Alligator mississippiensis: one gene and its partners. The protein of the gene in region 1 purifies or fractionates together with the protein of each later gene. This does not show direct contact. Links are inferred from orthologs where the notes say so. Each region holds a gene or a part of one and is shown in the gene's direction. Other genes may lie near its edges.

Region 1 (7,880 bases):
CTCACCTGTTTTCAGATTATTTCTACTGTATAGAGTATTTTATGCACTTTGACTTAAATATTTGTTGCCAGTAAAATGATCCCCAGGCATCTTTCACTTTGTACTAATTGTCTAAGGGTTTTTTCTATCTTTCACTGGCAACTTAGTAATTTGTTAGAGAAATAATATAACATAACATACTTGAATATCATTCTGAAGTATGTTAAAATGTTGTGAAAATCTATATTGCATACATTATTCAAAGGATAGGTTAATTTTCTTCCCAATGTTTTTTAATTTCTTACTCAACAATGGGGTCATTACAACAGACAGGAAAATGGGGTTAGGCTATATTATAGTTTAACATTCCAAGTGTTAAAGGTCAAAATAATTTTACAAATTTAAGGTTGGATCCTGTAGCTGAATCAATCTGGATCCACTCCTGACTTAAGCAAGGAGGGTCTTAGTGCAAAGAATCTGGACCTGCACTGTAGCCTGTAGCAGACAAATGATTATCTCAGGAGAGGACAGCTTGTACTTTATCCTTTTGTGGTGTATCACTCTTTACATTAAATTGTTTAAAAAGTTGAGTAAGTATTATGCTCATTTTGCAGATAAGGAAATGTGTGTATTTATAGTCTTGTCTGTGCTGTAAAAACAAGAGTTTTTACTACAGAAGTTTCTAATCCAAGTTACTGAATAAAATTATAACATTGTACAGTAAATAACCTTATTTTAAAAACAAATATTTCCCAGTCTTTATTTCTGCCTTAGTGTTTTGGTCTTATACCATGGTTTGAATAGCCATATGGGTCAAACCAAGGAGGCTTGAAACGTGGCTCTGTCACAGCTGAAGTTAACAAATCGAACAGGATGCTTTTTATATTTACACAGTGTGTAAATTTACATGGTGCTTTACTAACCTACACAATTCAATGCATTCAGATCTCCAAGGAGCTCACAGTGCAGGACCTCTGATCCTGCAAACATGCATGTGAATAACTTTGTATGCCTGAGTAATCCTAGCGCTTCTAGTTGGACTGCTAATGTGTAAAGTTACTTATTTGTGAGTTTGGAGAAATTGGACCTATTTAAAACACAATTTAGACAAGAACTGAGATAAGAAGCTGGTGTGGAGGCTAAAGACATTTGAACTTTCCTTCATTCTGTAGTAGATAGGGCCCAAAAAGGCAGGCCAATGATAAACTTGTACAAACAAAAAATAGAATGCAAATTAACTGTAAATTTAATGTTACATTATCACAGTCAAAGTGGCAATGTAACTTGGGGTTCACTGCATATCTTGTGTAATTTATGGCACAAATTATATACACTTAGTGTGTTAAAAGAACAGGGACAGAAAATACTGTGTGTGCAATGCAGCAGAACTAACATCGCCATAGAAACTTAAATTCTTATTTTTCCTCATCTTAATTGAGATGCAACCTTTTAATATTTGCATCAGTTTTCTAGGTTTATTTTTATAAAGTAGTATAGTATATGGCCAATAATAGATTTTTCTTAATCCCTTTCCCAGCTATAAAAAAGCCATCAGTATATAAAACATACTTCTGAATCTTTTTTTGATCACCTTATATTTGATACCATGACATGTCATTCATGACATTCTTTTCTCTTAAGGTATTTTCAGTCATTTAACTTTATAAATTATTGTAGGCAGTCCTCTTGTTACTGTGGCAGTTTCTGTCCTTTCCAGTTGAGGTAAGAGGACTTAAAACAGAGGTCAGATCTCCATTGCTGATCCTCCAAAGTGTACCAGGATGCACCTGGACATGACAGAGTGCTAGCAGCATTCTTTTAAAACCAGGGATGAAGGTGTTGGGTGTTGCCCGTTATTAATCAGAACACTCTAGCAGCCTTGGATAGCTGACCTAGCACCTTTTGCAAGGGCTAGATTCAGAGAATCTTAACATAGGAGGAGGAATCCTTGTGATTTAAAGTATTAGTCCAGGGCTTAATATGTCTGTTTAGAATGCAAATTCTGCAGCAGTGACTGCGTATTGGATATTTGGGGAAAAATCTTCTCATTGTAAGTGTAGTTATTAGTTAAGCACTGGAATAGATTACCCAGGGAGGTTGTGGAACAGGTTAGACATCTACCAGAAATGTTTTAGGCATACTGGATCCTATCTTGGTCGGGGAGTGAATTAGACTTCTTGAGATCATTTCCAGGTTTACCTCTCTAATTCTGCTTGTTTATAGAGTGTATATCATGTAGGGGGATTCCAAGAGTTGAAGCAATAGTAGAAATACTTTTTACAGGAAGTCCTCATCTTGTAAATAAATCTAACATTAATTGAAGTATTGTTAAATTCAGGGTGCACCAGCATTCAGAGCTTTTTTTCTGCAAGTGCCCATCTACATTTTTGGTTATGATGAAACTTTTGGCCTCCTTTATAATATACACCATCTCTTTTCTGATGGAATCACATAATTCCAAGTCCCTGCACTATTTGTGCCTAATGGGGTGTGATGCATCATTTGAATGAATGTACATGGTCAAAGCTGGCAGCTACATTTTGTGCATATAAACCTGAAGTTACCATTTAAAAATTAGAAGATAAATCATACCTTTGATTATTTGTTTAAATGTTGGCCATGATCCTAAGACTCTGATGCATGGGTTTGCTATGACTTCAGTGGGGCTATGAATAGCCACAGGGATGTGCTCATACAGACCATTAGGATTAGATCTTAAGGAGTTGCACACCTTCTAGGTTAATATACACCTCCTAGTGCTGCCCATTGGTCTCAGAATGACCCACAGGTAGCATCTGGGGCCTGCTGGATGGTCTCTGCTCCAGTTTGTGCCCTGGAGAGAGAGAGAGTGGCTGCTGCATGGAGTGCAGCCCCTGCTCCAGGGGCATGCAGCACAGCCCAGTGGCAGCAGCAGCTTCAGAGCTGTGCAGCACATCCAAGGAGCAGCCAGAGAAGGACTGGACCATGCACAGCACCCTCTTTGGCTGCTCCAGGACATGTGCTGGAATGTAGGGCCAGTCTGTAGGTCTGGTTCAGCCTGCAGACCAGCCCCACATCCAGCAGACTGAATAAGTTTGATACCTCTGCTATATATTAACTATTATGCTTGGATTTTTTTAAAAATGTTATTTTTTTACAGCAAAACATTTCAGTGATAACATACTTTGCCTCCATCTCCCAACTCTTCCCCAAACCAAAAAAGGTTGTGCCCTTTTTAGAGGTTGCAAACAGAATTGTAGAACTGTGATATTTAATTAAGAAATATAGCCTCTCATAGTAGTGCATGGAGGCTTCAGTCAGATCAGGCCCCATTGTGTTAGGCACTATGCAAACATAGTTGGTGACTTGAAGAGTTTACAAACTAATGTATGGATTTCCAGATCGGAGCAGTCTCATGTCATGTTTAAGTCAATGGAAGCTGCGTGTGTTCATCACCTTTGACAACCAGGCCATTGAATATCCAGTCTCCTCTGTCACTAATAAAAACAGTTTGGCAAATGCTTCTCCATAGGGTTAATTGACACAGTGTTGAAAATGGCTGCTGGTGCCAGAGATGTACCTATTAGGGCTTTCAGGCCTCATAGTCACTGAACTCTCTGAAGTAAGTAGGTGTGAGTTTGCATTAACATGTTCTCTACAACTCCCACTGGTTTGGGCTTGTATGGAAGAAATGTGCTACAGTGGCTAGAGTACTATAGTAAGAATTGGGAGACTTTCTAACTAGTTGTACAACTTTAATCAAGTCATTTTGCCTCTGTTATACTGCTCTCTTCCTTTGCAAAGCGATCTGAAATGTGCAGAAGAAAAGTATTTATATAAAAGCAAATTATTTGTGTTATGGAAAGGAACATCTGCATGCGAGATACTGCTTTGTGCCCTGACTGTCTAACACCAGCTGTCTTATGTCTTCAGTCCTAGTATGACAGTCGGTAGCAGCAATCCCCCAGTTCAAGGGCTGATCTCTACCACAGCTCATTGATGGGTCTTGAGCCACAGATCCAGCTGCAGAAGCTGCTGGTCGTTCCATGGGTGTAGGCTGGGATTCCTCTCCTTTGAGAGTGACCTTCTTCCTCTGCGGACACTCTCTCAATGTCCCCTTTTCGATGCTAATACAACCTCCCCCGACTGTGCTCAGGACATTACTTGAAGCACTTCACCGTTCTCTTTTCATCCGAGACAAACATGAACACAAATTCGGTCCAGCGCCTTCCGGTTAACGACTCTTGGCGAAAGGGCGTCCCTCACCTGCAGCTCCCGGCTGTCAGCAGGCAGCTTGGCCCGAGCTCAGCACCTGTCACCGGCATCGCTTGCCTCGCATCTTCCAGAAAGAAGGAAGATGATGATAAAAGGCTGTTTCTGTCTTCTTTGGGGATCCTCAGGAAACAAAGGGCTTCGAGACGGTGCTCCCGCGGGGCTGGCGGGGTGCGGGTATCCCCAGGCACCCGGCACCCCTGAGCTGGAGCGACCGGCCCCCTGCCACGCGCGGCTGCGGCTTCTGAGCTTCCGTGTCTGCCGCCGGGCCGGCTCGGGCGTTTCCGTGACTGCTCGGCGCTCCGGCCGGGCCGGCTCGGGCGCTTCCGGTTCGTGCTCCCCCCGTTGTCAGGGGTAACGCGAAGCATCATGGAGCCAACGCGGCGGCGGCGGCTGCAACCGAGGCCCTGAGCGGCTGCGTCCGCGCTCTCGGGGCAGGCGGCGGTAGGAGCGGGCAGGGCCGCGGCCGGGGGGGGGGTCGGCAGGGCCCGATGCGGCCCCCGGGGCTGGGAGGACCCGGCTCGGGCTTCTTCCCCTCGTGCTGCTGCGCTGCAAGGGGCCGGGCCGCGGCTCCCCTGGGCCGCGGGGCTCGGCTGGCGGGCCGGGCCGCCGGTGTCGCAGCGCTCTCTGCAGGCGCCGAGCGGCTCCGTCCCCTGTCGGAGCCGCCCCCGGGGTGCTGCCCGCGGCTTTCGCGGGCCCGGCGGAGCGGGGTGAGGCGCCCGTGGCACAGAGCGGCGGGGCCGGGTTTCGGGCCCTCCTTGCTCCCTCCAGAGCGCCTGTGGCCGGAAGGCCCCGTGCGCCGGGGTCACCTGCCTGCTGGGCCGAGGCCAGGAGCCGCCCCGCCTCGCCCTCCTCGCGTCGCCCTTTGAAGGATCTGGTAGCCCCCCAGGGTGCCCCATATCCTGGTGAGAATCATGGGGTGGTCCGTGGCCGCCGTAGTCTTTGTACTCAGAGTGCCTTTAAACACGGCTGCTAGTTCTGTTTCTCCCCTTTTTAAAATAAAACTTGAAGAGGGCAGCACTTTGCTTCCATGTTGTAGTCTGTGGGGTGATAGAGCAGCTCCCACAGAATCATTGAAAAGGAGAGCCAGAAGGGACCTCAGGAGGTCATATTCAGTCTAAGCCCCTACTCAAAGCAGGACCATCCCCAACTAGATCGTCCCAGCTAAGGCTTTGTCTAGCTGGGTCTTAAACATCTCCAAGGATGGAGAGTTTACAACCTCTCTGAGTAACCTGTTCCTGTGTTTTTTTACTTTTACATACCATTATTGGGCTTTGTTTGTCAACTAATAATTTAAAAACACAAACATCAGGGAAGTAGGAGGCAAGGTGGGTAAGAAGAACGGTCGAATGGGCCAGTCCTTTTGCTCAAAAGGAATAAAATGCAAAACCAGATAATGGGGAAAATGAGGAACCCAGCCCTGTCACTGACTTTGTTCAGGCAGAGCAGTGCAACACCCTCCCCCCCCCCCCAAGTTTTGTGGGGGCTTGTCTGCCCACATGAAGCTCATTGCACGTTCAGGACCCAAATCACTAGTATGTTTGTACAACATGCATCTTTTACCAATCAGAAGCTGTAGATGGGTAAGAGTGCACCAAAGGAAAGTAGTCTTGATCATGCAGTTTGAAACCCAATACAGAGTTTGTAGATCAAGGGACAGATACTATTTCCCCATCTCAGATTTGTCATTTTTGCTCTCTATATAGTATGATTTTATAAACCCATTAAAAACACACAAAACAAAACAAAACTTTGAATTAAAAATTTAAGAGGATTTATGATGATTTCTTAGAGGTAATTGCAGAATCTCTTAAGGAAGTCCTCACATCCTTTCAGAAAACCAGATCTATTATCTCTGATGGATTCATTAAGGAGCTCAAGTCTGTAGCCAAGCACAGTTCAGTAATGGTCAGACTTGTGTAGGACAAAACAACCAACCAACCCCCGCCCCCCAAAATCAAAACTACATTCTTGGTTGACAATTGAGGTGTGATCCAATACAGCTGATGGTATTACATAGAGAATATAAATAGCTTGAAGAATACAAATCAAAACTGATATGCATATATTTAAGTGGTGCAGCAGCTAGTGCCAGCTCTTCAAATAGCATGCTGGTTTGTTGTGACTTGAGCAAGCTTAAGGTAAAAGGTGCTGCATCAGAATCTCAAAAAACCTTCCTTTTTGAAAAAGTTTTATTTTTTTATTAAGATTCCAGTCCTATACTTGATGCCCTTCAGACAAATACTTCAGACCATGACTGAATAAGAAAAAATAAATCCCCTCCAAACAATATACATAGGAGAGCATAATGTTCTCCTAAACATACAATTATCTCCCTGAGGAGAGGTGAGAAAGTTAACTTCATATGATGTTAATCGCATTGCTGTGCACTTTTGGCAGGTATGTAGTTACTAGTTATGAGGAGATATATAGAAGAAAAAAAAAAAAAAGTATTTAGACTGCTATGCTGCAAGTCAAGTTCCAAAAGATTATATAACAAAACATTTGGGGAACTTTTTTTTTTAATTCTTATAGTACTGGTTAATTCTTCTAGTCTTAGACCAGTGGTTGTCAGCCAGGGGTACACAGAATGGAAAAAAAAAAAAAAAAGTTAGAGGTGCACTAATACATTGGTCCCATCAGATCGGCACAGATAAAAGGAAGTGACAGTATCGGCAATCAAGGAATTTTGTGGTGGCTGAAGCCCCCGCATTGCTTCCCTTCCCAAGGCTGCCACCTCCCACCCTGAGCATATCTTGGCCCAGCCCCCCTGCTGGGAAGAGCCTGGCACCCCCTTGGTCCAGCCCACAGTGGTAGCCTGCCCTCACCCAGCACAGATTCAAGGGCACACCTCCCCCATGCCCTCCTGGGGTGTGTAGTGCCAGAAACCAACCCCCCCTGCATCTCCCATATGAGCTGCCTGTGGCTCAGTCCCATGCTCTGCCCCAGCTATGCAGCACCTGCCCCAGCCCCTCCCCCCACAACAGACTTACCAGCCAGATGCCACATATTAATAATGCATTCAATGTTAATTAGTATAGTCTGCCTGTGACTAAAGGAGTAGAGACCAGCCTGCTCCTTTGTCCTTGGAGGAACTGCCTGCCTTTCTCCTGCCATGCCAAAATGTTCTATTGTTTTGATGTTAGCAGGTGGGAGGCAGGGGTTTAGGTGCCCAACCCACCTTACACCAGGGTGGTTCTCAAACCTGACATATAAGTGACCCTGTCCCACCACAGGCAGGCCCACCCAGCCTCCCTATACCAGCAGGGTACAATTTCAGGGCATGTCCAGGACCAATAAGTCCTTTTCCTTCCCCATAGCCTCACCCTTACCTCTAAGATATTCCTAGAGCAGGAGCTCCACCAAGTGACATTACTCCCAAGACTACAGAGCACAAACTGCTCTGCTCTTATACCAGAGCTCTCCAAAATGGCCACCCTCATCAGACACCTGGAAGCTAACTGCTCTACCCCTTAAAGTGACAGAGTATTAAAACTGCCCTGTCACACTGCCTTATATCACATAATTGGTAATATTAAAAACAAGAAAAAAATATAAAGGGTTACATGAGCTAGCACTTTGAGACAGAAGAGGTACACTTGTTAAAAAAGGTTGAAAACACCTGTCTTAGACTGATACATAGGATATAG
Region 2 (7,510 bases), on another chromosome or scaffold:
CTCCCTGGGCCTTCCTTTTACTCCCAATATATCTAAAAAACAATTTCTTGTTGTCTTTTACTTGGGTTGCCATCCTCAGCTCCATGGTAGTTTTGGCCCGCCTAACTGCCTCCCTACAAGCACGAGCAGAGGAGGTATATTCATCTTTAGTGATCTCACCCTGTTTCCACTTTTTATGTGCTCCCCTTTTGGCCCTTAGGCTGCCCTGGATTTCTCTGATCAGCCATGGAAGCCTCCTGGCCCCTTTCCCTTTTTTGCCTCGCTCAGGGATCGTCTTGCTTTGTGCCCGAAGGATCGTTTCCTTAAGGCACAGCCACCCTTCTTGGGCTCCCATCCCTTCAAAACTCCTACTCTGCAGTGCATCCTTGACTAATCGCCTGAGTGCATTAAGATCAGCTTTCCTAAAGTCTAGCACTTTCACCCTACTAGTTACCTTACCCACTCGCCGTCTTATGTTGAATTCTATTATTAGGTGATCACTGTCTCCCAAATGGCTACCGATCTGGAGGTCCCCTATCATGTCATCCCCTGTTGCCAATACCAGATCCAGTATGGCATTCCCCCTAGTGGGACCATGCACCTCCTGTGTCAGGTGGAGGTCCTGTACACAGGTTAGAAACCTGCGTGAGTGATGGGACCTTGCTGTCTGCGTCTCCCAGCAGATGTCCGGGTAGTTTAGGTCCCCCATGACTACCGCCTCTTTAGCTTTTATGGTCTCTGAGAGTTGCCTCAGGAGCCCCGCATCTATTTCTTCCCCTTGGTGTGGGGGTCTGTAGCAGACCCCTACCACCAAATCCCTTTCTCCTTGCCCCCCATGTAGCCTAACCCACAATCCTTCTACTTCCTCAACCTCGGATTCTGTCTTGATGAGGGTTGATGTATATTGCTCACTGACATAAAGTGCAACCCCCCCCCCCTTTCTTCCCCGACCTGTCCTTTCTGTACAATCTATAGCCCTCAATATGTACTGCCCAGTCATGGGATGAATCCCACCAGGTCTCTGTTAGCCCCACTAAGTCATAGGTGTTTAGTGCAAGCAGGAGCGCTAGTTCATCCTGCTTGTTCCCCATGCTCCTAGCATTAGTATATAGGCACTTGAGCCCTGCGACTGGCGCCTTTGCTGCCCCCCCCGCTCCAAGTCCCAAGGGGCCCATTGTTTCTTACCTTCTTGTTTCTTACCTGTTCTGTAGTGCTGGTCTCCGCATGGCTTTCAGGTTTCCAATGTTCTCCTTCTTCAGGCTGGGCTGTCCTCGTGGGTGCCACATGGTTTGGTGGTCCACAGCTTCCCCTGCCCTCGTACTCCCCTCCCCCCAACGAGCCTAGTTTAAAGCCCGCCAGAGGAGATCCCCCAACCTAGAAGAAAACACACACTTACCTTTGGGGGACAGGTGAAGCCCATCCCAGCTGAGCATACCCTGGTTGGGTAACTTTTTTTTTCCAGGTTTTTTTCTTCAGTTTTTGAGCACCCCAGAAGGGTCAGGCCCCAGCAGGTAAGAAGGCAGCTGGCTTGGGCACTAGGGGAAGCATGTCTGAGGCTCAGCATGAGGCTGGCAGATAAAAGCAGGGAGTTTGGGGCAGATAATGGCCCCTCTTTCTGGACAGAAGGCCCAGTTCTAAGATGTGTTGATCTTTTTTTCTTTTTACCATTTTTTTGTTTTCTCTTGCCTCCTGAAGTTGCTGGGCTATGCTTGGCTTGTTGTGACCAGAGTCAGCTGGTGCTGTGGTTGCGTAGGCAGGTGCTTTAGGTGGACATGTCTGTGGCTGGATAGGTTGCGGTGTGAGCTGAAGGCCGTTAGGTTACCAGGTCAAGGCTCTGTGTTGCCTCCTGTTTTCAGCCTCTGTATATGCCCCCCAACCCCCTTGTAACCCAGCCCTCACTGTTGCAGCCAGAGAGCACAGGGGTGGAGCCAACCCTGCTCTCTGGAGCAGAGAGCCCAGGCCAGGGCACAAAAGCCTGCTGGGTTGCTGGGGCAGTTTGATTTAATTTGAAGCAGGCAGGGATCTGGGACTGAAGTTTGATAAACCTATAAACAACTTGTGCCCCGGCAGCTGGTGGGGCGTGGCGGCAGCAATGGGAGTGTAGTGGCAATAAACAGGGAGCTCCTGCAGATGCCGCCAGCTCTGTTGGCAGGGGTGGATTTGTGAGTGTGGGGGAGTGACACCACAGACAGCAGCTATTTCTGGCAGCCAGCGACAATGGCTGACTGGTCTCTAGTGCCGTCAGTGGCGATGGTGGGTTGGCGAATGGCGACTGCATGCAGCACTGCCAACACTGTCGTCAGCGCCTTTTCATAAGGGGTGCACGTTACCCGCATGCACCCCCTATACATCACGAATGCATAAACTGGTCTGGCACAAATCAGTTAAGTGTGATATTACATTGAAACAGGTTTATCTTAAACCAGTTTCAGCCATTTTGAAACTGGTTTATGTGCTCTGACCTTCTGTTCTGTTACAGGTTTAAACCAGTTTCTGATCACTTATACTGGTTTATGTGTAACTTCTTTCCCTAACCTAATAGTGTGATAATCTTAGGCATTATTTGCCTTTCCTTTTCCCATTGTAAGACTTTTATGAATCCAAGTCTTATCACCTACCTCCTGGGAGCAGGCGGTGAATGAAAACTTTCACTCAAATTGTAATTAAGAGTAAGGTATAGTTGTGGGTTTGATAAATCCCTCACTCTGAATTCCAATTTGAGTGAGAATTCAATTTTTTTCCAAAATGTCTATAGTCAGCAATGTATGAAGTTGGCTTTTGTGTAGGATGAATGTATGTAGAATCTGATCTAAGGTGCTGCTTCACCTTCCTTTTTATAAACAGAATAAACTAAACTCCTTGCATTTGCCTCTTTTCCAGATGGGTGATTTTTGTAGCTCTTCTCTGAAAGTGCAGACACTCGTATAGACATGCTATTCTAATTTGAATGTGTTGGAGCAGTTAATTGAGTCTGCCGAACATTTTAATTAGAATGTTCCAGCATGTCTCGCCATCACCTGTATAAGCCCTCACATGTTTCAAAATGGTGATGGTGGCACTTTTAACTAAAGCTCATTGGACTAACTTTAAAGCCCCCTGTGGCCATTTTGAAAAGAATAGGGGCTTCTACACCTGACAGTGAGCTGGGAACCACTGTAATTAAAGTACCCACCCTCACCTCCAAGTACTGTATGGGTACCCTAGGACTAGTCTCTTCTAGTTCACTTGCCCATGCCATATGAAGCAGTACCATCACTTCCTCAGTCCTGCTGCAAATTTCCCTCTCCACCTATCTAGTAATAGAGTTGGTGTCAGACAAGCTTTTGGCAGACAAGGTTCTTTGGGTAAATCTGGTATCTTTTATTAGACCAACTGAAATAGTTGGAAAAAATCTTTGCAAGCTTTTGGGTATATATACCCTTCGTCCGGCTGTGGAAGCATCTGCAGTTGGTGTGTGCTCATCCTGGATGGAATGAGTAGTAAAGAAGCTGGTATGGCTTTCTTGCATGCACTCTGCCTATGTCCTTAGCCAAACACAGCTACACGCTGAGACAAGGCGTTGGGCGCATGCAGCCCTTCCTCTGGTCACGAAGGGCCCTACTACATGTTCCCGTTAAACCTGGATAGAAACCAGCTCTGAAGTTTGGTGCATGTTCTCGAGCACTAACTTTGTAGTGGGCTGGCTCCCTTTCTAGTGGGATGGACACTTTTATGGCACAATAGTGACTTACTTTGCAGGTCACACAGTCTAAATAGATTGCGGGATTCACCTGTGAGTTGGGTCAGGTATATAACGTGAGGCAGTGCCCCAGGTCTGTCACCTCTCCCACGCAGACCGGGCTGCGCCATGCACGTTTCCCGCCCCTCGTGGCGACACCCGCGCTTCGGCCCCGCCCCCGACGAGGGGACCGCGGGCAGCACAGCGGAAAGGGCTGATGCCGTACCGCTCACTTCCGGGAAGCCCCGCCCCTCAGCGGCAGTGGCGCAGAGGCGGCCCCTCCCAGCGTGGGGGCGGAGCTAGTTGCTGAGGCGACTGTGGAGCGCGCGCCACCGCATCCAAACGACATTTCCGGGTTGGGCCACGCCCGCTCGCTCTGATTGGCCTAGACAACAACAGGCTCTTCCGTCCCCCGGCCGTTACCAGAGTAACAGAGACGCTGTTAGCTGGAGGAAACGTGTTCCCCCCGTCCTGGGTGCGGTGCGCATGCGCACTTGAGAGGTTGCCAGGCGCGTCCCGGCTGGGAAGATGAAGGTGAGGGGCTGAGGCCGTTACTGCGCGGGCCGGCGGTGCCCGACAGGCCGGAACGGGGCTACGGAGGCCTCCCCGTGAGGCGGCGGGTGCGGGGGCGCTGCCGCACGGTGCTCCCAGCTCCTGTACCGTCGCCCGGGCTGCGGGCGCCAGCGGCATCTCCTGAGTCGGCTGCGCTGTTTGGCCCCGGGCGCGATGCGCGGGAATGGCACCGCCCTGACGGAACAGGTGTGGAGCTGCGGGTGTCCCACGAACAGGGGTGACCGCCCCACAAGTCTCGGGCTGTGGGGCTCGCAGCAGGGGAAGTGTCGTTGGCTGCGGGGCTTGTAGTGGAGCAGCAGGGAGACTGCTGCCGTGCTGCAAGCCCGGTGAGTTGGGCTCACAGCGGTGGCAGCACCCCCTTCTGTTAGCCCCGCACCTCCCAAGGCTCGTTCTCTGCGCCGCCTGACAGTGGGGACAGCTGCCCCTTCTGTGAGCACCGCAGTGCGTCACCTGGCAGCCTTACAGCCATGGGAGCTGGTGCAGAGGAAACCTTGGATGGTGATCACAGGCTCCCCCTACACCAGCAGTAAGCAAGAGGATCTAATGTGCGATCCCACAGTCACACTTCCTGTCACGCACGTGTGGCCTGGCAGGAGGCACAATTGTGTGGATCTCACGTTAGAGCTGATTGCGCCTTTATCTGCATGTGTAGTAGGGCCCTTTATTAACATGTGCCTAGGTGTTTTACTACGTTGTTTTTTCAACACTTGCTGTTTTAAAGTTAATAATTCTCTTCTTTTTGCCCTCCCTTTCCCCACACCCCCCCGCCAGCGAGTGTTTTTTCTTTCAGAAAAGTCTTTGCTTGGTTCACCAGTGCAATTAACCTGGCAGAAGACTTTAGGAAATTTTCTTGCAGTAACAGGGTAAGAAAACTATGAGCCTCCCTCTGCTATTGGAAGGAGGTTGTAAAAGCTAACAAGCAATTTCAGAGGACACGAAATGAGAAAATGGGAACAGGAGGGTAGGTCATAGGTTAATAATAAATGTTTCAAGGAGGGCTATGGAGCAGAATGCACCACCCAGCACCCACTGTGCTGCAGTCAGACCTAGTTCTTATGCAATGGAGAAACAAAGGGCCATGTCCACTAAGGGAATTATGAGCCTCTCTTAGTTGGGGAGCATGTGTGTGTGACTGGTGCCTCTTGAGTCTGAGGGGGGTACCTGCAGAAGTTAGCTGCGGCAGTGGGGACAAGGCTGGTGAGCACCTGTGAAAGAAGGCATCAGTGGTGGGGATGGGGCTGGCAAGTGCCCGCAAAAGCTGCCAGAGGTGTCAGTGGCAGGGACAGCCCTGTCAGCGAGGGCATGTGTAGTGTCGTGTCCCCCCTCTTCCCCCCCACCTCCCCCCCGATGCCTCCCCTACCAGTTGCCTGTGTTAGAGAGGCAACTGAGTGCATAACAACTTTAAATATTTTTTATGTGTACAGAGAAATCATTGAAAAGTGCAAATAGCATTAGCTATTAGATGTGAAAATAGCTCAAAGTACTGACCCAACCCCTGCAAATAGTCATAGATTAAATTTGGGAACCAGATCACAGGGATATGAAAGATCAGTGGAAAACATTCTTACTGATATTTGTAAATGTACAAAGAAAATTCAGTTTCCCTTATTTGCTAATCCTTTTTCAATTTTTTTAGTGTTGATCACACTGTAAAAATCTTTGATCGTCATGGTCAGAAGAGAAATGAAATTAACCTACCAGGGTAAGTACTGAGATAAGTTTTGAGCGCTTTCTTAAAAATACATTTTTTTTTTTTTTTTTTTTTTTTTTAAGGACATGATCGTATAAATAAGGAATATGAATCAAGCTGCGGCCATGAGGCAGGGCTGATTTCGCAATAAAATAACGACAAAAAATACTATGTTCCTGTACCAATGATGTATCTCGGTGTCTTGTGCTACCTGTCATCTTTGGTGCTACCTGTCATCTTGTGCTACCAGGCTGTTTTATTTTATCAAGACAAAACCTGCCCAGAATAGAGAGCAAGAACACAATTCATATTCCTTACAATTTTTTTTTTTTTAAATATCATTTATTTTATTTTGTCTGGTAAAGCAGTGAGATTCCATGCTTCTCACTCAACGCACATACAACAGTTTTAAAACCTTTTTTCTTATATATTTTACAATTTTTTTTTAATCAAAAAAACAATAGCTGAGAGATTATGCCAGTATCACAGTATAGAAGACAATAAATGGCTTCTTTCAGACTCAGGGCTAGTTTTGTTGTACTTCTGCTTCCTGCCTGCAGCCAGTTGGAGCAACTGTGATGAACCTACAACTTCCATGTTATTTCATTAGTTGTTCCCAGTACTTAGTAATTATGCATTTAGTTGCCTCCCTAACTATAATTGTCTTAGTGTGCTTGGCTCACTGTTTCCCCATTGTATAACAGATAGGCCTGACTGCAGTCAGTGGGTGCTGGGTAGTACATTCTGCTCATTACCCCCACTTGAAACACTTATTGTTAACTTATGACCCACACTCCTGTGCCTATTTTCTCATTTATTGTCCCCTGGAATCACTTGCTAGCATTTATGGCCTCCTTCCAATAATAGAGGGAGGCTCATAATTTCTGTGTGAGCCTAAGCTCACAGACTGTAGCCAGAATACAAGAAGTGGCTGACATTTATACAGACACTCCTATCCCAGGATTCATCCTTTTTTTATTCCGGGTATGCAGCTAGGCTTCTGGGTGGATAGTCCGCTCTGCCACTCCCATGTCTTTAGGTACACCAAGTGACCACTTCCCCCTTCTGTATCTCCCAGTCCTTTAGTCTCTGAATCCTTTTCTACAACAAAAGGAAAATAGTCCTACTTCAGATGCAGAGATTTTTTTTATGATCTTAGTGTACAGGTACCTCCAGAATGCTCATCTCCTTTCATTACAAATTATGATATCTCTGTTCCTGTGTCAGTTCTAGGATCTTCTTGTAGCTACAGCCTTCTTCTGCATCAGTGTGGCTCTTTCTCAAGCTCATACATTAATTAGTACTAAGCGAGTTTTCAGGTTGCGTTGAGTAGCTTTAAAAAGTGCTATAGTTTGGTGAAATCCATATTTTCATGGGACATAGTTAAGTGACATAGTTATAATTCTTTATCCATATTTTATGTATAAGGGACATAGCTGGAGGCCCACCAGCCCCAGAATCTTTGGAGGGACTAGGGTGGTAGGCTACTTGTGAAGGCGAAAGGAGGAGGAAGAAGTCATAAGACTAGTTGAAGTTTGTGCTAATGCAGC
Region 3 (7,395 bases), on another chromosome or scaffold:
CCTCTCTATATTGTGCATGAAATACAAACACTTGTACTGGCACTGCTGCATGGACAAAAGCAGTGGATCCACCCCAGTGTCTAGTGTATTTCAACATCTGCTAAAAAAAATAATTAAATGACACATCCTTAACATAAATTTTCAATGTAGTGAGCCCCTGGGGACTACAAAGGAGCACCAGAGACCTAAATTTGCTCCAGGAATTACTGTATTATCACCAGAAGAAAGCTGAACAAGTTTAGCTGTATTACTTGAATTAAAAGTAGACAAACTTCTCAAAACGAGTTCTCAATATGAATAGAGCACTTCCAGTACTAAACTACAAACAAATTATCATGAGGAAAACAAAGTCAGGGATTTAATGTACAGGAGCTACTGTGTAGTAATTGTCTGTGTGTTCAGCCTGACTTAGTGGCATAGGTAAATTATCCCACAGTAACTTATGTCTCTTTCAGAGGAAAAAGTTACCAGGGGTTAGTTTCATGTGGTTTTACCACAGAGAAGCTGCTACCGTGAATATCCCCGTCTTCCTTCACCTTATAGTAACTTTTTTGTGTACCTGTGTCCTTAGATACAGCAATATGTGATACTGTACAACACCAGTGCTAGAAAGGTTATATAGACTTCCATGCAAACACACCTCAACAATATTAGCTACAGCCAATCGTAGAATAGGGAAGACTGAAATACATACTTCTTTTTTATTATTACTTAGAAAGCATGCTTGACTGAATTCTAAAATAGCGCTCTGATCCAAAATGCATCTACCAGTGATTTCCCACCAGGGTGCTACATTTTCCTTGGTTGCCTGGAGATTCTTTCCAGGGTGCCAAACATCAGTTAGGTGTGCAAATATGATTCACAAGAGAAACCCAAAGATTACAAATAGGAAACCACAGTGTTAAAAACATTCTGACCTGCAGCCTTTCTGAATTCTCTGCACCAGAAAAATTGCTGTATTATTTTCCATAGTGAAAAAAACAAGAGGAAATGAACAGTTGGTATATTCCAAGACCTGCCTCGAGTCTAACGAGGGGTGTCCTGTATCAAAAGAGATAAGAAACACTGGTATATACCTTTCAGCAACTTAACTGATGTCAAACTTTTCTTGTCACAAGGCTGTGAACTGCTGATTTCTGTTTGAGCATTAGATTTGAAGTCCTGGCTCTGCAAAAGCATTTCATCCTTCCCCTGCCCAAATTCTGATTCTGCAGAGTTCTCCTCAGAGTCTTTTGTAGCTGTATCATCAGAACTCCTCTCTGAGCAGGCTAACTCCACTGTGGTTCCTGATGCCTCTTCTGAGTGAGCTAAGACTGCTCCAAGATTCACCTCTGATTGGGAGTCCGATGTCAATGCGTTTCCTGAGTCTCCCCCACACTTTCCTGTATCCACATCATTTGAGTTCTGATCACCACTATCAGAAGCACAAGCATTATTCTTTCTCTGGAATGTTTTGCTTTTATTTATGTCAACTTCTTGTTTATTACACGGTATTTTTCTCTGTCTTTTGTTCTGGGTACAAGCTGGATTCTTTTTTTCTGACCTTTTTCTAGCTTTCTTAATTTGAACTCTTTTTTCAATTATCCCATTTTCTTTAACCTCCAAAGAATCATCCTTTGGTTTACATTCTTTAACGACCAAGTCTTCTGTTCCCTGGGTGAACGTGACAGAAATGTTTTCCTGCTCTTCATCAATAGTCTGAAGTACCTGAACACTACCACCGCCTTTACCATTTTGTGCACTAAACTCTTGTTTTGTATTGTCATGTTCCTTTTTCTGTATTGCGGTTTTCACAGCTTTTGCACTGCATTTTTTGGCTCTCACCTTGGTATTACTTTGAGCAGGAGTAGTAAAATCAAAATCTTCTAGTTTAAGACCGGTTTCTCCAGTTTTATGAAAATACTCTACAAGTGCACGTTTCGATCTTAACTTCACTCCTTCAGGACTGAGAAAGAAAGGTATATGATCAGTGATTACTTACTGTTTCTGTTTCTTAATCTAAAAAATATGCAATGCAGCCTCCTTTTCTAAACATAAGCTAAAATACTGGTTCATGTTGCAAGAAATAATCTAAACTAATATTTAAGGAAAAGGAAGGTTAGCTGAATATGCCTTTATAGATAATCTTTCTTTTAATAATTGATCAAAAAATACTTGTTATAAAACAAGAAAATGTGTGATAGTATCCTACACACTTGATTAAGCATTTTACAGTCTCACAACATGCTTCTAAGGCATATCAATGTTTTATTTATAGCTTTGCATCTTATTAGTACGAGGCACAAAGTCATAACATGACTCATTTTAAATCATGCAGAACTTTTCTCTTGACTTTAAGCTAAGCCTCACAGTAACCTGTGTGACAACTCGGGAAAGAACCCAAGACATGCAACAGCAAGGCCTCTGTTCTGCAACACATACTTTCTGTCTAGTAGAATAAATCAAGGGCACAAACATTTAAATTACTGTTCCCCTTTCATGATGGATTGCTAGAAATGTTTACCTGATAAAATAAACATCATATTTTCCTGCAGTTTTGCCTGATTGTCTTTGCTTTGTGATCTTCTCCCATCCATTTGGAGCGACTTTGTGACATGCAACAACCACTTCAGAGACAACAGCTGCATCTTCTTTACGCAGGAGACTGTTCTCGGCTATGGTCTCAGTACCTTCGGTTTGTGAATCAAAATGTTCTTCTGTCTCTGTCACTAACTGGTTTCCTTCATCTTTTGTTTGCATGTCACTTCGGTCACTGAAGGCAAACAAAAAGAAAATTTATCCTTCCAGACAGGTTTTCTAATCAGAACTGCTATATTTCAGGAGCTGCAGAGAAATGAAAAAAATAACCAGCCAACAGCCAGCCACGATCTGATATGCAAGATTGAGCTCGTTCTCTCTGACAGCAGATGTCCGCAGAGCTACAGAAATAGCACGATCAGCCTTTCCTATGTGAAACAAGCATATATTTGTATGCCTACGTATGTATGTGTGCATGCACATACACGCAAAGCTGTGTGGTTGCTCTGATCTTGGATCTGACACGAGCCACCCCTCGTCCTGTACTCTGTAATAACCATGAGGAGATAAACGAGGGCGATTCGGGACTCGACCATCTCGTGCCCTCCAGAAAAAACTGCCGAGACCGGTCTTTTGAAAAAACAGGTTTCTAGCTGTGCTCCTCACATCCTTTTCGAACATAACCGGTCGCCCTCCTGAGAGCCCAGGGGTCTGTCATGTACCACGTGAGCATGCTGTTATTTGAAGACATGACACACGCGTGCCCGTGCCACGTGGGCTGGAGAGGAAGGACCGGCTGGCTTGGCTCCACGCCCTCTCTCCGATCCAGGCTCTTGGCGTGGCTCCGCCGGCGGACGAGGCGGTGCCCGAACGGCCCCACAGGGGCGAGGAAGGCACTCATATGCCCCTCGCTTGAATCACAGTGAAGATGCCTGTGGGACCCTGGCACTTGGCTGCTACGTTGGGGCACCTCAGCAGCATGTGGGGCTCTGGACCCCCTGGCCCAGCACCCGCTCCAGCCTCCCCTCAGGGCTGCAGCGATGCCCAGCGCAGGGTGCAGGCCCCGGGTGCTCAGCACTGTGTGGGGGGGAGGGGGGAGCGGCCCTGAGCCAGGGGGGCAAAGCCGCCATCAGCACCCCTCGCAGGCGCGAAGCCGCACGTCACAGCAGTGACGTCACTCCTGCGTGCCCTCCCCGCTCCGTGACATCACCTGTCCCCCCCCACCGCATGACACCAAGCTACGGAGGACAGTGGTGGGAACAAGCCCCGCTTGTAGCCATAGCAACCCTACCTGCCCTTTCCTTGCTCCCCTACTTCCGGGGCCGCCATGTCGCGGCATCTTAGCGTCACGTGATGACACGCAGGCTCGTGCGACGCACGCGCGGCCCCGATCCCGCCAAAAGCGAGTAGCACCGCCCAAAAACATCCTGCGCATGCGCCCGGACGAGACGTCCGCGTACTCCGCAGCGGACGCTCCGCCTTCCGCGCCTGCGCGGTGTGGGCGTTGGCTTCACTTCTCCCCGCCCCTCCCCGTCGGCGCCGAGTGGGCCCCTTGCGCATGCGCGTTGCCTGGGACGCTGCCATGTAAATAAACGAACGGCGGCGGGGGAAGGGGAGCCGCGGCGGCGGGGGGGGGTGGGAGCGAGGAAGGGGGCGAAGAGGGCTGACGGGGGGGGGACCGGTAGGACGGCCGCTGAGGGAGGCGGCGGGCGGCATGAGGGCGGCGCTGACGTGGCGGGACAAGGCGGAGCAGTGGTAAGAGCCGGGCTGGGGGGAGGGCAGCGAATGTTGGCATGCGCCCCGCCCCTTTCCCTCGAGTGACCCCGCCCCCTTGTCCCAGGTGGCCACGCCCCTTGCCCGAGCCTCTGCTCTGCTTGTTGCTCTGTCCCCTGGGGGACCCCGGCCCGGGACCTGGAGGGCTGGGGCCCCCTGCCCAGGGACACGGGGCTCAGCGCGATGGTGCCTTTCTCATCGCACTGGCACGCTTCTGTCCACTCTGGTGTGGCTCTGCACGCTTCTGCCTCGCTGGCGGTGTTTTCCATCCCGGTTCAGCCTTGCGCTGCCCTCCGCCCCGGTTCTGCCACTGCCCCCAAGAGCGGTGGCTGAGAGGGTGCGGAGAGCAGCCCGCGTCCTGGTCTGTCAGGTGGCATCAGCTGGCAGAACGGCCTAGGCGAGGCCTGGGGCACGTTCTCGTTAGCTCGGGGAGATGGGTCGTCGTCACCCACGTAATAACGGGACGCGAGACCTGCTCTGTGGAGCTGGGCCATGGCCGTGCTGGACCGCGGCATGTTTCCGCGATCGCTCCCCGTCCTGTTTCGTGCTCCTGTAAACCTTCCCTTTTGGGTTTCTCTCTGCAGCATCTACGACCTTGCGTTTAAACCCGATGGGACGCAACTGATCATTGCAGCGGGAAACAGACTGCTGGTAGGAGAGCGCTTTAAGTTTTCCCAACGGCAGCGATACGGTGGGGGCTTGATGTGCATTCAGTTAATCTGTTGAAACAACTGTCAAGAGAGCTCTCCTTTCTTTGCCTTCCCAATCTGCCATTACCTGTCGGTGGCCTTCAGTTATAGATGGCCTCAAAATATACTAACATTTTCCAGTGTGTCATTTTTTGGAGTTTGTTTGTTTTAAATGAGGACTCTTTCATGTGACTTTAGGCCAGGGGCGAGCAATTACTTCAGGTGGAGGGCCGCTTCATGAGTTTTTTGGTGTGCTGTCAAGGGCCCCATGGATAGTCCAGCTCCTTGTCGGTTGCCCAGCCCCCTTGTCACCATCTTGGGACTGGATGTCCCACCCCCCCTAACCCTTGACCTTTCCTACTGGAAGTCCTTCCCCTTGCCCCCCAGAAATCCCCCTTTTGGGAGGTGGGGTGCCATCTTAGAACTAGAAAAAAAACCAAAATCATACACTAGAAGTCAAATGCCTACTATAGCATCTTTTAACTTTACTACAAAAAATATTTTTGTCATGGTTTGGGTTTGTGTTGTGTGTATATAGAGGCGATTGTATATATTGCATATAAATAAAACCTTATTTTTGAACATTATGGGGTGGGGGGGTGTGGATGTGTGTTTGGGAGGTTGTGAGGGGGTATGGCTGTGTGGAGGAGCATAGGGTATGTTGGGTTGTGTGTATGTGGGGGGGTGTGGGTGCAGAGGGTGGGGGTGGAGACCCCCCCCACACTGCCCATGGGTCATCGCTCTGGCCAGCACTGTACATTACAGCAAGGGGCACAGCCTCCACCCAGCTGCCTATATCCAGAGCCTGAAACTTCTCTCCCATGCTGAGCATCCCCAACAGGGAAGGCACTTGGCTCCAGTACGTGGGGCTTCCTCCTCTGCTGTGCAAATGCAGGGGCTGCAAGCGAGTGACTGGGAGCACTGGCTATACAGGTAGGTGCACGGAGGCTGTGCCACTCCTTGCACTGGCCAAAGCCATGTCCCGCTGGGCACCTGTGCCCTAAGTGCCCCACCTGCTGCTGCTCCCTCAGCCTGCCAGGGCTGCACACTATAGGGAGTGGCAGGGGTGGGGTCCCACACCCAATACTGTCCCCCACACCCAATACTGTCCCTCACACCCAAACACTTGCCCACCCCAGCTCTGCGCTGCTGCCACCCCCTGGGCACAGGCTCCGCACTGCCACCAGCCCCATGCTTGGGGCTCCCTCCCAGCTGAAGCCCCGCCCCCACTGCTTTCCTACCTGCAGCTGGGGGGAGCTGCAGCAGCAGCAACTCTGCATGGAAACTGCACGCTGACCTGCCATGCCCTTCTGGTCACGAGGGTGGAAGCGAGGCCATAGGGTACATTTTTGGGTCTGTGTACATGCGAGTGCCTCGCTCCGATCCTTGTGGGTGGAAGGGCTGGGTGGGGCACAATGTGTTGAGGGGCCCCAGGGGCCAGATGACAGTGCTTGAGCTGGATCAGGCCCACAGGCTGTATTTCGCTCGACCCTGCTTTAGGCCTAAAAAGATTTTGATGACATGAGGGAAGGGGTTAGTATAAAACAGACTATCCAAGTTAGCTGCCTGAGAGCATTAGATAAATGACCTTTGTTTATATGATCCTTTAACCTTTATTCTCCCATGACATAATACCTGGCTGTCAGTGCTTAGAAATAAATGCGTGCTCTAACCTTGAGGTCAGCAACCTGGAAACATTGCAACTGGTCCACAGACATAGGGCTTTGGTATTCAATCATGAAGATGTTTGACTGTGGGTCCTCTCCCTGTGTCACTAAGAGGGACAGAAGTGGTGGTTGTGACTGGGCCCTAGCACTCATCAGCTTCTGGCTAGGGGTGAATCCTTCTGGCCTACAGCTGGAAAAGGTTTTCTACCCCTGCTCTAGTATATTAAAAGGCAGCATCTACTTAAATGCTAGCCATTTTCAAAAGACAAGTAGTTGTAGCTACCACAACTAAAATCTGGTATGAAGATTTTAGAATAAGGTCTTACTTACGTTTTTGTAGATATAAGTAAGATCTGTCTCTTTTTGCTATGTAAAAGGTTCATTCAAACAGGGGGAAACTGACTAAATGGGGAAACTGCAAAAAAAAAAAAAAACATGCACTTTGAAAATTTTAAACTCTTGTTTAGTTCTTTAGTTCTTATACTTCTAGGCCCCAGTTCCACAGAGCTCCTTGGAGGACTAGGGCCTTATATTATTCTTTGTTTATTATTATTATTATTTATATAGGTATATGATACATCTGATGGAACCTTAATTCAGCCTTTGAAAGGACATAAAGACACAGTGTACTGTGTGGCTTATGCTAAAGATGGTAAGTGACACCTTTCTGGCTTTCTTGGGGAATGCTCAATACCAGTAACTTCCTGTGCCAGCTGCTGCTCTGTGTACATCATCTCCTGAAACACAAG

What was found. The genes of interacting proteins can lie anywhere in the genome.
Region 2: the proteins of IFT140 (region 1) and WDR19 purify together in Homo sapiens (co-immunoprecipitation; 3 studies listed by BioGRID and IntAct, with this or other methods). This does not show direct contact. The link is inferred for Alligator mississippiensis from reciprocal best matches to the Homo sapiens genes IFT140 and WDR19.
Region 3: the proteins of IFT140 (region 1) and IFT122 purify together in Homo sapiens (affinity purification with mass spectrometry; 4 studies listed by BioGRID and IntAct, counting the BioPlex papers as one, with this or other methods). This does not show direct contact. The link is inferred for Alligator mississippiensis from reciprocal best matches to the Homo sapiens genes IFT140 and IFT122.

The regions. Positions count from the first base shown.
Region 1 is NC_081836.1:29,248,068-29,255,947, reverse strand, and holds the start of IFT140 (intraflagellar transport protein 140 homolog), read left to right. Parts: upstream 1-4,586; 5' UTR 4,587-4,674; intron 4,675-7,880. UniProt on the Homo sapiens protein: Component of the IFT complex A (IFT-A), a complex required for retrograde ciliary transport and entry into cilia of G protein-coupled receptors (GPCRs).
Region 2 is NC_081825.1:50,486,042-50,493,551, forward strand, and holds the start of WDR19 (WD repeat-containing protein 19), read left to right. Parts: upstream 1-4,287; 5' UTR 4,288-4,423; coding exon 4,424-4,456; intron 4,457-5,041; coding exon 5,042-5,133; intron 5,134-5,906; coding exon 5,907-5,972; intron 5,973-7,510. UniProt on the Homo sapiens protein: As component of the IFT complex A (IFT-A), a complex required for retrograde ciliary transport and entry into cilia of G protein-coupled receptors (GPCRs), it is involved in cilia function and/or assembly.
Region 3 is NC_081835.1:15,084,281-15,091,675, forward strand, and holds the start of IFT122 (intraflagellar transport protein 122 homolog), read left to right. Parts: upstream 1-4,172; 5' UTR 4,173-4,231; coding exon 4,232-4,272; intron 4,273-4,874; coding exon 4,875-4,941; intron 4,942-6,488; exon of another isoform or gene 6,489-6,753; intron 6,754-6,976; exon of another isoform or gene 6,977-7,061; intron 7,062-7,213; coding exon 7,214-7,298; intron 7,299-7,395. Other genes in the region: MBD4 (methyl-CpG-binding domain protein 4), read right to left, coding at 1,077-1,945, 2,504-2,752, 3,809-3,846. UniProt on the Homo sapiens protein: As a component of the IFT complex A (IFT-A), a complex required for retrograde ciliary transport and entry into cilia of G protein-coupled receptors (GPCRs), it is required in ciliogenesis and ciliary protein trafficking.